Lonchura striata: one gene and its partner. The protein of the gene in region 2 purifies or fractionates together with the protein of the main gene of each other region. This does not show direct contact. Links are inferred from orthologs where the notes say so. Each region holds a gene or a part of one and is shown on either strand. Other genes may lie near its edges.

Region 1 (6,889 bases), on a different chromosome or scaffold from region 2:
CATCACAAAATGTCAACATTTTCAGGTAGTGTAAGATTTTATCTGAAGGTAAAAATAAACAGGTGACCATAGGCAAAGATTGGACGCATAATTATCAGGTCAGTCTATCAAACTCCATAAACAAAATATCCATAATGTAACAGGGGAAGCTTTTCATATATAACATACCATTAAAATCTAAGAAACAAAGTGCAAAGATAGACAGCTTTTTCCTTTTAAACAATAGGCAGTATCCTGTATGGCCATGTTCTCCCTCATGGATTCATGAATTATGTAGGAAGTGGGGTGGATACAGTTTGCTGACAGCACCAGCTTATTCAAAAACAAAGAAAAGGGCTGAGCCCAAAATGCCACGGGGCTTCAGAACTCAGAGTCAATGAATTGGCCTGGGAACTCCCTTGTCCATAAACAGGAAGCAATTCCAGTTCACACACAAGTGACAGACTCTGCCCTTGCTTACAAATCATTACCTAGGCCTGAGCAAGGCCTTGGGGTTCCACAGTGCTTCTGGCAAGCAACAGAACAGGAAACAGCATAACTGCCCCTGATCAGGAACTCTGACCAACACAGCAGCATTACTGAGCCTCTGTGAAAAATTCACTCCAGCTTTCTGAAAAGCATGGGAAATACTTAGAGGGAGCTAAAAGAGAACAGGCACAGAGAACCCTGGTAAGGACAGCCACAGGTATGGCATGGACATCGTGTAAGAAACTGTGTCACAGACCGAGACCGTTTGGCCTGGAAAAGCAGTGACTGAAGCTCTCTTCAGCCCAGCAGAGCATTATAAGAGACATTAGGAGTGTGGGTTTTAATAGAAAGGGTACTGAATAAAGGAAAATCCGATTACAAAAAAGTGCACATTGGGTTAAAAAAACAAACACAAGACTGTAGCTGAGGAATTTCTTCTTAGAGAAGAAATTCTTAGGGAACTTTAGGATCCACATTCTTAGAGAATGTGGATGCTAAAAATACATCTAATCCAGCATCAGGAAATTTGTTGGGGAAAAAGAAATCCAGTGAGGACTATTAAACGCCAAGATGCCACCTCTGGGGCAGTGATATACAGGAACCCTCTTCCCATTCTCTTCCTTATTCCCACTTTACAAAAATGCAAGGGACTTCCTTTACTGGCCCCTGCTGGAGACATCACATTTTTAAGGAGACCTTCCTACCCAGTACAGCTCATTCATGTTTTTAACACAGAGTCATGCCAAATGCTTCACATCTGTGTGTTCCTTTTCTCCTGCATGGGTGTGCCATAAGAAGCCTGTGATACAGGGAGCACAGAAACTGTCCTGTAAATAGTGAAAAAGTGTTTAATCGCTTGAGATGTCCCTTACCAGTTACACCCTTAAATGTGAACAATTCAGACTCTTCCCTGCAGGGCACATTGAGTTTTTGGAACAGCTGCACTCCAAAAAACTGCAAAAGTCTTTTAGCTCACACAACATTTCTAAACATGAACAGTTTACAGTGGGTCTGAAGAAGCAGTTCCAGAGCAGAGCTGAGGAGCCTCAGTGTAGGAGTGTGCACTAGATAAGGTTCTGGTGATCTGCTACAAAGTGAATGCTGTGTGACCCTCACAAGTGGAAACATCGACCCCTGTCTTTTTGTTAGAAAACAAGACTACCAAATTTAATGCTCCATTTTTTCAGTCTAGAGACCAGAACTCTCACAAAATCAGGGATATGATCACCTATATCAGCAAAATTCCTGTTCAGATGATTGCAGCAGGGATATGTGAGTATTCTGTGGCATGAAACATTCCATGACTTTATCAAAGACTCTTACGCTTTGACTGAAGGTCTTGCTGGGGTTTAATGCACAGCCTTCTGCTTATCTTCAGGTCCACTCCCTCGGTCATCCTCAGAATTGAGGGAATATTTCTTCCCAGCAGTTTAACAGCCTTATCTGGAAAAGGAAGCAGAGGAAGAAAAAAGCCAAGTTTAACTCAGAGCAGTAGAAAGTGGGAACCAGCTTTTAAATGGAAGCATTTGGGTTTTTTTTAATATAAGACGAAAAAAAAGAAAGAAAACCAATAGGTACAAGTGAAGGCAAGAAGTACCAGATTTAGTTGTAATAGCCTACCAATGAAAACTTGCTTATAAGGTATGCCTTGAGCTTGCTCAGTAATCTTATGTAGAAAAATGTGAATGCAATTACATTCATTTGCGGGGGGGGAGGGGGGGGGGAAGCAAAATAATGTCCTGCTAGCAATTTCTAAAACACATTACAATTTCCAGGGACTAATCTATACAAATGTTTCAGATACACTTTGGATGGTGCTATTTCAAGGACTGCACACCAGCATTCTATCAATCTTGTCACATGCCAAAAGCATTGAGAGTCAAGTAAAAAAAAAAGTCAAAAAAGCATAATATTTAGCACTGAGAGGTAACTACTTTGTAGCACATTAGAAAAGCCAGGACACCTTATATACGCACACATACTTTACAGTAGGCACTTCGAATGCATTAATTAAGATAATGAAAAAGTTTAGGAAAAAGCTCCAAACAACCAACCAATCTCAGAAAGGCAAAAACGGCACTTAAAAATATAAAAGGAGTTCTTATTTTACTTTGCTATACTGCCTGAAGCTGTCCCTCCTAAGGCCCTTTACTTTCGCGGAATAAGGTACTCCCGCTCTGAAAAGCCAGTAATTTACATTTCCAGGCGACACCGCCAGGGAAGCTGGCCCTTTTAGGGAAGCCGAGGCACGGCCGCTCCGCTCCCGTCAGGGTTTCGGCCGCCAGGCCCGGCCCCAGGCTCGCCTCGGCTCCCGCCCCGCGCTGCGGGCCCGGCCGCCCGCGGTCCCGGCCGCCCGCGGTCCCGGGCCGGGCTCGGTCGGTGCCTCCCCGCCTCCCCCGTCGCTCACTCACCGGCGCGGCCCCACATGGCGCTGCGGGCCCGCGGGGCGCAGCTCAATGTCACGGCCGGGCCCCGCCCCGGGCCCGCGATTGGAGGGAGCCGCGCCGCGGGGCGCTCGGGGCCGGCGCCGCCTCCGGTGGGGCGGCCGGAGCGCTCGCAGCGGGCGGAGGAGGCGGAGGGGAGCGGGGCCGCTGCCGGTGGCGATGCCCTGCCGGGGGCCGCTGCGCCGGGGGCCGCGCTCCGGCGGGGCCCGCCCCGCTCCGCCCCGCGCGTCATCCCGGCTCCCCGCCGGATTGGGCGCCGCGGCTCCCTCGGCCGATCCAGGATGGCGGCGCCCGGCGGGGCCGCGAGCTGCGAGGACTTCGCCGAGTTCCAGGTAACCCGCGCGGGGCGGGCGGGCCGGGCCGGGCCGGGCCGGGCCGGGCGCTGCCGCCGCCCGTCCCGCGCGCTCCCGGCGCTTCCCGCGAGCGGCCCCGCGGGAGCGCGCCCCGCGCGAGGTGACCCCGGTGCCGGGGCCGGCGGGATGCGGCGGGAGGGAGCGGGTCCGGCCTTCCCCTCCCCTTCCCCCTTCCCTCCTCCCCGTTCCCTTCCCTCCGGCGGGAGCGCGGCCGGACCCCTCCCCGCCTTTCCCGGGACGCAGCGCTCGCGGCGCGGGAGCCACGCGGGCGGCGGGAGCCACGCGGGCGGCGGGAGCTCCGCGGGCGCCTCCGCGGCGTGTAAGGGAGCGGGGGCCACCCGTGCCTTCGGCGGGGCGAGCCGGCTCTGGGAACCGGCTGTGTCTGCACCGCGGAATCCTAGAACGTCCTGAGTAGCCAGGGACCCTCCGGAGCCAGCGAGTCCAGCTCCCGGCCCTGCACAGCACGCCCCAGGGGTCACATCGTGTGCCTGAGGGTGTCCGAACACATCTTGAGCTCCGTCGGGCTCGCTGCTGTGGCCACTGCCCTGAGGAGCCTGTCCCAGTGCTCTGCTGCTCTGTGTGAAAAACTTCGTGCTATCCAACCTAAACCTCCCCCAGCTCAGCTTCACGGTCCCCAGAATGCTAGGGGGGTTTTATTCAAAGTTTGCCTTTTTGGTGCAGGTTTGGTGCCAGTTTCCCGTGTGGAAGTGGGGTCGGGGACTTGGGCACAGGCTCTTCAGCCTGTCCATGCTGCCGGCAGGGCCAGGGGACATCAGGGGGCATCAGTTACTCACCCCTGCTCTGGCCCTTGCTGCCAAGGAAACTCCGTGGTTTGCAGCGCATACTCCTGCATGTGGGATTGCTCCTTCGGTGTGCTTCTAGCTCTTTGTAAGGAACCCTATTTAGTTTCTATTAAAATGCTTAACTATGCAAATTTTTTTTGTAGTAGGCTTTTCTGAGAGATATAACCGAGTATCTCTCTCTTTTAATACAGGAGCTGCTCAGGGTGATGAGGACAATCGATGATAGAATTGTTCATGAATTAAACACTACGATTCCAACAGCTTCCTTTGTGGGGAAAGTTGATCCTGGCCAGACGTGCAGAGAGCTGTATGAGTCTGTGAGTGTGCACACCTTCCACTTTCAGCTCTCTTCCCACTGCTTTGTCGTGTGCAGTGGCCAGTAAAGCATCCTCAGTGTCTGAGGAAAATACTGCCCTGGGAGATCCTGCTTTGTGTATTACTAACAGCACTGCTCATCATCTCCACACACTGCTTCAGTTTAAAACCATGCAGGGCAGTTCTTTGTTCTGCAATACTGATCCTTTGAGGATCTTTTTAAAAGGGTGCTTTTCTGCTGCTCTGCAAGACTCCTCATGTTTACCTTTGACTTTTGATCAACTTGGTAAGAGCAAGAACGACAGGGTAATCTAAGGTGAGAGTAGCTGCTGCTCAAAGCTGTGTTGTTTCCCACATGTGGATTATGAATTCAAAGGGATTTCTGTAGGCACAGCAATACCATGACTTTAGGAAGTGTCTGTTTAAACTTATAACTAAGAGGTTTTTATTCTGAGTCACTGTGACTTTCTTTTTCTCCCCACTTAGTTGATGGATGCTCACACCAACAGAGAAAGAATCATCAAAAACTGCATCTCTCAGACTTCTGCCATAGTGAAAACTCTCAAAGAAGAGAGGGAAAAGGCCCATGAAGATGCAGCATTATTAAAGCAACTCAGGAAAGAACAGACAAAGGTGAGTGGTGGAGCCTTTGAGAGATCACTTACAGAGGTAGAAGTGGGTATCTTTCCCAAATGGAAAGACCGGTGTGATGGAGAGAGCCTGCAGTGGATTCTCAGTCAAGCAGTCTTTTCCAAAGTTCTCATTGGCTCTTGTTGGGTCTTGTGAGAATTATTTTTCCCAAGGCCTCAAGGCAGAGAGGTTTTATCCTGCAACTGGAGCATTTTCTGAGATTCTTTTACATGTATACTGTAGAAAAACACATTCTTTCCTGTGGTGGATTCTAACCTTCACTGACTGACAACACCAAGGCACAGCTTAACTTTTCCTGTTCACTACAAGATGCTCCCAGGCAACCTTGAATTCCACTTGCACAACCTTTTTTCTGGTTGGTATTTCTTGGATTAATATTTGGAGTACCTTGTGATGCTGTGAGAGAGAGAATTCTGGGAACCCCACTGAAGTTCTCCTCATTTCCAGGACTGCTTTTGTAAGGAAAAGGATACTGAGAGAACCACGTGGCAGATGAGCAGTTTTATTCTTAAAGCCTCACTTATTGAACTGCCAACAAGCATGGATATTAGTTTATAAAACTGGAGTGGTTGCTTAGTATTTTCTACAAATTTTGTTAGCACAGCTAAATCATTTAGTTACTGAGCCCAAAATCTCTTATTGGAAACACTGGGAGGATCACAATAAAAGTGTTTAATGATTGGAGGTTGCTTCAAATATTAAAAGCAATTCATGATTTAGACACATCTCAGAAATTTTTTATTAGATCACCTCAGATTTGTACTTGGACCCTATGAGGTGTGATCCCCTGACTTTTTTCTTTTTTTTTTTTTTGGCTCTCCAAAACACTGAGAATTGCATTTTTTCTACAAGTCAGAAAAGCTATCTTGACAGAACACATCCTAGTTTTAAGATTGGGAATTTCAAATACCTGTTAACTTTTTGCAATACAGATCTCTTTTCCCTTGTTATGTCTGTTTCTCTCATCCTGCTAGTTGTACAACTTGGAGGACTTCATGCATAATTATTACTTCTGGGTCACTGAATGAGAAAACTCGGAGGAGTAGTTTCTTTGAACTATTAAAGATCCTCTGAGTGTTTATTTTATAGATACTTATCCTGGTCATCAGTCACTCTGGATGCTGGATTGTTATTTCAAACAGATTGAAGTCCTGTTGAGCTGGGGAAAGTGCATCCAACAGCTGTAGCAACTCTGTGTCCTTGGATATCTTACTTGGAAGGTTTTTAGTGGGATTGCTGTCTTTGCTTGCACCTGTTCACCAGGCTTCTAATTGGAACCGTGTATTGAAAATGGATAAACTCCGACTCTTTGTCTGTTGTGTTAAAGACTCCAACAAGAACACATCCTAAATTTGGGCAAAATGGCAGATGGTTCTTAAATCTCCTCAAGACCAAATTACCCAAACACAACTGTCACACCTGCCCCTCAGGGTTTCTAATAGGTGTGAAACAAAGAGATTCTTACCCTCCTCACAGGTCAAGTGAGTGCTCAAAAACTGTGTATTGGTGGTAGTTCTTGCCAGAGTTTTTGCATCTGTGTAGAGCTGATTTGTCCTGCAGTGATGACATAAAATACTAACTGGTTCAGACAGCACAAACAACACGTGATCAGACTGCAAACCTTTTTGGTCAGTGCACTGACTAGATGGCAAATGAAGCAGAGAGGGTCTGTTCATACCTTAGTTTTAAATCCAGAATCCCAGCTGGAGTCGTAGCTTTGCTGCCAGCTTCATATATGACTCTAATGTGGCAACTCAAGGCTACAGGGCAAACCCCAGCCCTGGCATTCCCTGTGCTCAGTGCTTGCTTTAGGGGCAGTTATTTGTGCCTGTGAAGCCATCAGTGTTAATCTGTT
Region 2 (7,661 bases):
CCTCCGGCCACCCTGCTGTTAAAGAACCTGCCACTGCCGATGGGCCATGGCCCAGCCCTCTGGCCCTATGGACAAACTCCAGGCTAAGGTCTCACCAGGCCCCTATCACTCTCCTCCCTGGGAGCACACACTCTTATCTGTACTTCCTTGAAAGACTGTTTTCCCATGATTTCAACAGCAAGAGGCTGCTGTCACAGAGGCCTGCAATTTTAAAGTTGTGAAATATAGGAAACAGAGCATATTAGTAACTCCCCCTCGACTGTGAAAAGGGGCAAAATGAAACTAGATAAGGCCATGAAAAGGCAAAACACATGAGAACAAAAAATCTTATCTTCTCAAACTGATTGGTCACATTTGTTTAGCTGAGAGACTCAGAATAACATAACTGACTTCTTATCTTCCTTTTGTGTGATTTTTCTCTTTAAGTAAATGAAAAAACTATCTTTAGAACTTGAAAAATAACAATGGCAGTGTTCTCACATCTTAACTTCCAAACTCTAATTACACCTGCCATATACAGCCAAATTGTATGAACTGCTATTAATTAAAAAAAAAAAAAAACCACAAACTATTTAGTAATCAATGGGGGAGGCAGAAGACTCTTCGTTATTTTTCTACATTTCATAATGCAGATTTCCAGAGTACCCTACTTCAGCTCCCTATTGCCCTAAGGGGATAATTTCAACCTCCTCTGAGAAACAGTATTTACAATCAGTTTCACACACATACACACAAATTCAGAAAAACGTGTTTAGCAAAGATGTCTAAACTCTAGAGCCAGTCACTATATCAAGACATCTATCACTTGTTCAAAAATAAGTCTGGTTTTCCATGGAGTTAAACTAAACATTATTTTTTTTAAAAAGAGACATGAAAATGGCCTAAAGTATCTGAACTTTAAAGAAGCCAAACCCAAATTAAAGTTTATAGAAGAACAGAACCTAATCCCAGTGACAAGTCATTAAATGGCTCCTATTATGTTTTCCATAAAAAAAAACAGCTGACAGACCAATTACAAGGGAGTGCAAGAACTCTTGCCTGCAGTCCTCCTGTACAGCACCTGTACAATTCAGCACCTTAGCATATTATAGACAAGGTTCAGCTACACGTTTCCTCTAATGAACAGATCTCACCTCTAACTAGCATTGCCATAAAAATAATTAATTCTAGTTTTGGAGTTTTATATTAGCCTTTACCACAGACATGCTTTTACAGTATAAATAAACAAGCTTTTCCCTTTTGCTTTCAATGTTTCCAAATGCACTAGACAAACAGTACAGACAAGAGATTTATGCTAAGCAGAAGTGTATTGAGAAGTTAACAAACTGTCAAAATTCAGAGGATTATTACAGTAAAAAGGATGTTATCATTTTATCTGGCCTAGTTAAGCATCCTTACCCCTGCAGGGAAACCAGCCAGTATTTGTCAGACATTCCAGTCTACAGATAAAAGTTTTGTAATAAAACGTTGAAATAGAGTACAACTGTCACACTGCTGTTCTAATACTATACTGTAACACTGACAGGGATGGATGAGGACAAAACAGGAAAGCAAGAGTTAATTTTGTACATACTAAATGTCTGATAAACCAATGTCACCATTAGAACTCTCATTAAATGAAAAAAGGGCCATTAAAAAATCAGACCTGTGTCCTTTAATGTTAGATAGGCTTGCAAACTCATAGTCACAAGTAATTTTTTCAACCCTATTTTGAAGCACCTTTCACTTAAAAACTACTAATTACAAATCACTAAACAACAAGCGTCATTTAGCAACTAGAGATTTGTTGTAAAAACTGTAAAATAATCGACTTGAAGTACAGAATATACTTGAGCCAAGTGAGAGCTCCACCCTAATCTTTGTTTCATGCCACCGTGATGAAGTTTAATTAATCTGTCACTCGGGAGCCACAATCACGCTTTCTTCTGCGATAAAAAGAAAATCACCCAAAGAACAGAAAAATGTATTAGTATTATTGAAATTACTACATCACAGTTCTCCTTGGAAGTAGTATTTCAAAACTCTCAAGCTCTACAATTAAAAAATGACACAGACCTCTATTAGGATTTCTAACAATCCCAAGATCTCAAGATATTCAAGATCAAACTACAAACCCTATCAGCCGATAATAGATTGAAAAAAGGGTACTCACCAATTTAAAAGTCAACAAACTACGCCGAAATTATCCCAGTGTCACAACAAATAGCAACAAAAGAACTGAGATTATTCAAAAATTAATTTGTTAAAATACATCGGACACACGGTGACCTTCAGGCTTACACTGATACTACAGATGCTTAAAAAAGCCACCTCCTTACCCTTGCATTAACGCTCTCCCTACACACAAACCGGAGGTGGACACGGAAGCCTAATGTGGGCCAGGCCAAGGTAGAAACTTTAAGGACAGGATCTGGAAATAGCTTACGGGCTCAGGAAGCGAGGCGGGGGCAGTAAAGTAGCGCCTCCCGGAGGGAAGGGCGAGCGGGGATGCGGCCGCAGCGCGGGCAGGGCCGGGCCGGGCCGGGCCGAGCGGCGGCCCCAGGCCGGGCGCGCCGCCCGCCCCGCCGCAAGGTGAACCGACCCGCTCGGCGCGGCCATCTTGGGCATCCCGGCCTGACCTCCGCCCGCCGAGCCTCGCGCAGCCGAGCCCGGCCGCGGCACCGCGGGGACAGCGGCCGCGGAGAGGCCGCCGCCCGCCCCGCGAACCCGGCAGCGCCGGGACGAGCCCGCGGCCCGGCCACCCCCGGCCCACGAGGCCTCAGAGCCGCTCGCCACCGGGCGAGCCCCGCCCGCCCCCCCCCGCATGCTCCGCCAGGCCCGTGGCGGCCGGGGCCGGCACCTGCGTGTTGCGGGTCGTCGGCGGAGCAGGGCTGAGGCCGGTCAGGGGCGGGCAGAGTGGTCCGGCAGGCCGCGCTGCTGCAGCCGCGGGCAGTGGAGGGCGAACTGAAGGAGACACTGATCCGCCCGCCCGCCGCCGCCGCCGCGCAGGACCCCGGCGCGCCGGGGCCGCCCATCCCGCCGCCTGCCCCGCCCGCAGCGCCACACCACCCCCGCCCCGCGGGAGGCGCCGGCGGCCGCGGCCCGGAGCTCGGCAGCGGCGGGAGGTGCCGCAGCCCCGAGCCACAAGCCGGACGGCGGCGGCGCGGCCGGGCAGGCGCTCGGGCGGGCAGCCCCGACGGCGGCGGGGGCCTGCGGGAGGGCGGGGCCGCTGCGCGGGGCGCGCGCAGGGGCGGGGCCGCCCGCGGGCGCGGAGGAGCCGCAGAGCGGCCGGGAGAGCCGCGCCCGGGAGCCGCCCGGGGCTGCGCGGCAGCGCTCGTCCCTCCGGGGACGGGCGGCCCTCGCCTGCGCCTGCCGCAGCATCCCGGCGCCGCTGCCCTGCCGGGGAAAGCACCGGCCGCCCTCTCGGGGCCCAGCCCCTCCCGCGCTGGCACACGGACGGGAGACGCCCTTCAGCCGCGGCCTTTGTGCAGATGGCGGGCCTTGCTCCTCACAGCCCCCAGGAGCCCTTCCCTTCTCCGGGGAACGGCGCCCGCCGAGCGTGGGCGATGCTGCAGTGCCCATATCGCTCCGCTGGCTGCTCGCCCTTGCCCCACTGCACTGAACACATCCCCCCTCACAAGCTCTGTGCCACGGACACACAGGGCCACCCGCAGCACGGCCGTCCCATTGCCGCTCCGGCAGCTGTAGCCCATCGAACAAGGTGTCGAGCCTCCTGCCGACAAGTTGCCGCAGACTTTCAAATTGCCTAAGCTCCGTTTTTACCTCTTCCAATCACCACCCACAGACACCTTCCCCATAAAAGCACAGTGTGTCTCAGGCCGAGAGAAGCAGTGACCCTCAGATACGTTTCCCAGACAGTGCTGTCTGACCAGAAATCATAGCTGGAGAACAGTCACACGACTACTGTGCAGCAGGAGGAATCGCCGATTCACCAATGCAGACCATTGCAAGGCCAAGGAACTGCACAATAACCGTTTCTAAAACTCATATTCTTCTCTCCTTGCCTGGGTTATGACATGATCTCAACTTCTTCAAGAAAGCAAAATTCGTTTACAAATACACAATATATTTGTGTGATACAGAGAATACATAATATCACAATTCATTTTCCAGAACACATGGCACAACAGTAATTTTCCAGTATATTAAGAGAGCAGGTTAGTAGAAAGGCCCAACATAACGCCAGTCTGCACCTGTTTGTTATAGCAAAAGATAAGCAACAGATTTTGTGTGTGTGTGTGTGTGTGTGTGTGTGTGTGTGTGTGTAAGTCCAATGCTTTCACATCAAAAGACCCAAGAGATGTTTCATTCTGACGGTTTTAAGTAAGACAGTTTGGCATTGCAGAGATAAATATGTGTTGATGAATCAAGAAGGAAAGCCACATACTGAGAAAATAAATAACAGCAGGAAAAGAAACCCAGTGTGTCTTACTGTACATGGAAACATACATTCAAAATAACTAGAGATCTGATTAAGTAAAAATAAGTAAAAATAGATTGTGGAATAAGTTGCTCATTATTTAAAGACATGCATTTATTATTCATACCAGTCCTATAAATAAATCCATTCTGAATAGAAGTCCAGTTGCTTATAGGAGACATCAGCATTCTGCCTTTTTTTTCCCTTTAAAGATTAATATTTTAGTAATGGTTTGGCTTTATTTTTAGCAATCTAGGAAAGTAATTACTGCCCTGCCCTGAGCAAAAAAAGCAATGAATCACTTGCTTTGTGAGACAAGGCAGAAGCAATAATCTGAGACACAACAGCAAACTCCTCTGCATTACAGGCTCTGTTGCAACAGCCTTTGCCTGCCAGTGTTTTTTACTCACTCTTGCACTGCCCCTGCCTTGTACAACCATGCCTTATTGCCTCATGCCTTAGCAGATCTACTCGAGCTCAGAGCCCCAAAAAGGCACAGCTTCAGGCCTGCAATAGCAAGCCTTCTGAATTACTCTGCACCTTTCTTCTCAGCAATTTCTTCATACCACTTAGTGCACACACCTCCTATGTAGGTGCACTTCCTCTGAATGGGCTGGTTTTCTACTGAAATTCAGCAGCTCTCCAGTTTTGGGGCCAGTTGCAGTTGAACTGTTACCATTTTGTACGAACACAGCCGTATTTACGTATAACTGACATCAGAGTCACGTGTTTTACTGCTACCATTTGGAGAAAACCCACAGGTCACTGTAAGTTTAATGTCATTTGAACAAAAACTCTGCTTCTCTCTCCACAATTTAGAACGTATGTGAGCAACAAAAAGAGAGCAAGTGTCTACAGTACGTACCAGTGTCCACCATGCAGTTCAGATAACTTACGTTCACTTCTGACATGAGCCTGAAGTCATTGCTTTATCTTCCCTCCAGATGCAGATGTTCAGCTGATGATTCCCTGGAGAAGCCTTACAAATGATCTAGCAGTTGCATCCTGAAACAAGCTGATTTAGGGCATATAGCAGAGATGCTGAAAGTGTAACCAGCAGGGAAAGGGTGGAAAATAGTTGAAGCTACCAAGAAACAAATTCAGAATAAACAAAGCCAAGAGTTTTTCTATGAAAGAGTGCAATCCAGTGGAATTACCTGACACCAGAAGCTAAATGTTTATATGGGCTCCAGGGAAACTAGACAGGCTTGTGGAAGAGAAATCCAGCAAGGATTACTAATTACAAATCCATTCAAGAATTACATATTGCTATATAGCCTGTTTGGAGTCAGAAAATGCCCGAGTTGCAAATGGAAGTATCATTTAAGTTTATCCTGTTCTTGGATTGTTATTATAGGTGTGTGCTGCCTAAATAATTGCTCACTTCATCATCCCAGAGGCAGGGATATTAGATTGTCTACACCTTTTGTCTGATACCCTACAACTGTTCTTATGTGCAAACTAGGCCTCTGGAAAGCCCTAAGAGGGCAATCAGCAGAGGCCTACACTGCCAGGATCCTTTAGACTGACACACTTAATGCCTTTCCATTTTTTTCCTAAGAAGCTTCAAGTAACCTTCTTTCATTTTAGCTTAAATTACTAGGAAGAAGTTTAACTTAAACCAGATTCTAAAACACGCTTTAAACAGGCCCAAATGGAGCTAACACATTCAAATAATCTGACACAGAGAATACCTTAGGTCAGAGGCACACAGTTGATACCAAGAAGTGACTTTAGGGCTGAGGCAATGCCTTGGTTTAACGAAATCTGCCTTGCAGTTAGGGCCGGCCGCAGGCTGCGGGGCGGGTCCCGTGCGGGCCGAGCCAATCAGCGGCCTCGCTTTGAGGCGCCAATCAGCGGCCTCGCTTTGAGGCGCCAATCAGCGGCCTCGCTTTGAGGCGCCAATCAGCGGCCTCGCTTTGAGGCGCCAATCAGCGGCCTCGCTTTGGGGAGCCAATCGATCAGCTGCCCGGCTGTGAGGCGCTGGCCGTGCCTCAGTGCCGAGCACGCTGGAAGCACGAACGAAGGCCGGGCGCGGCTTTTGGCTTCCGGCTCTCGGCGAGGCCGGACTAGGCCGGGCCCACGTGGCCGGCTCGGCGCGCAGCTCCGCTGCGATTTCTGCTACTGCCGGGCCGTGCCACCGGAACTGTCCCAGCGCCGTAGGCAACCACACGGCCGGGAGTGGCCCTGTGGCCGGGACTGCTCGGTCGGGATCCGTGCAGCCCTGGCAGCGCCGTGCAGCCGGGGCCACGCTATTCGGCTATTTCGGCATGGCACACGAGTGAACTTGGTTTACTCAGCACTAGCGCCGGGAGTGGCCCTGTGGTCGGCGCTGAGGGTGGCCCCGGGGCCAGGAGTGGCCAGCGCCATCCCGGACGTGGCCAGGAGTGCGTGTCCGAATGGACACAACTGCAGCGGTGCCGTGCGGCCACAGCTGTCCCGGCGTGACTCGCAGGGGACTTTGCTTAGCCGCTTTAACCGGCTCTGCTGCGGACAGAAGGACAAAAGCAGTGGCAGCAGCGTTTTTCTTTCTTGCAGTGTCCCGCATGAAAGAAAGGCGCGGGGGTGGTGCCGGCAGCCTGCGCGGGTTGCGCTGCTGGCGGGAGCCACATGATCAGCAGCGACAGTCACAGCGATTCCTCGGCGGCGGAGCCTGCACAGATTCAGCCTTGAAATGTTGCAGGACTCTATACTGTTGTAGTTTATAAAGCCCAAGAGCAAATGAACCTACGAACACTAATTCTCCCCTGAGTCAGGAAAAGGAAAGGGTAGAGAAAATACGTAGAGACAATATACACGTCGAGAAAATAACATGGGACACTAAGTCAAGTAAAGGAGTCAAATTCTAGCAGGGAGGGGATTGACTAGATGCCTTAGTCGTGGGCTAAAATTATTTTTGCAAGACTATGGTGAAGGTATATTTGATACAACAAACTAGTTTTTTCCTATAATTCATGGAATGCATTGGGCAGATGTAGTGTTCTACCTACAGCCCTGAGCAGAACCATCAGTGTTGGAATAAGCAGATGTTGCAGTAGCTCTGATCCAATGAAGAGTTTGACCAGAAAGAAATGAGAAGCCTTGCCCTAGGAATAGAAGAAGAAAATAAGATCTCTGTTCCCAGAGATGGATTAAAAGAACTTTTGGTTTTATGCTAGAACAGCTCATCCATAAAAATAGCACCCCAATAAGTTGACATGGCCCATGAATGCAGCTGTGGGAAGGCTGCAAAAAAGATGGG

The links.
Region 1: the proteins of VDAC2 (region 2) and FAM162A fractionate together in Homo sapiens (co-fractionation; 3 studies listed by BioGRID and IntAct, with this or other methods). This does not show direct contact. The link is inferred for Lonchura striata from reciprocal best matches to the Homo sapiens genes VDAC2 and FAM162A.

Annotation. Positions count from the first base shown.
Region 1 is NC_134604.1:29,259,591-29,266,479, reverse strand, and holds the start of FAM162A (protein FAM162A), read right to left. Parts: upstream 3,012-6,889; 5' UTR 2,896-3,011; coding exon 2,880-2,895; intron 1,912-2,879; coding exon 1,792-1,911; intron 1-1,791. Other genes in the region: protein MIX23, read left to right, coding at 3,194-3,244, 4,260-4,385, 4,870-5,169. UniProt on the Homo sapiens protein: Proposed to be involved in regulation of apoptosis; the exact mechanism may differ between cell types/tissues.
Region 2 is NC_134609.1:11,428,488-11,436,148, forward strand, and holds the start of VDAC2 (non-selective voltage-gated ion channel VDAC2), read right to left. Parts: upstream 3,005-7,661; 5' UTR 2,840-3,004; intron 1-2,839. UniProt on the Homo sapiens protein: Non-selective voltage-gated ion channel that mediates the transport of anions and cations through the mitochondrion outer membrane and plasma membrane.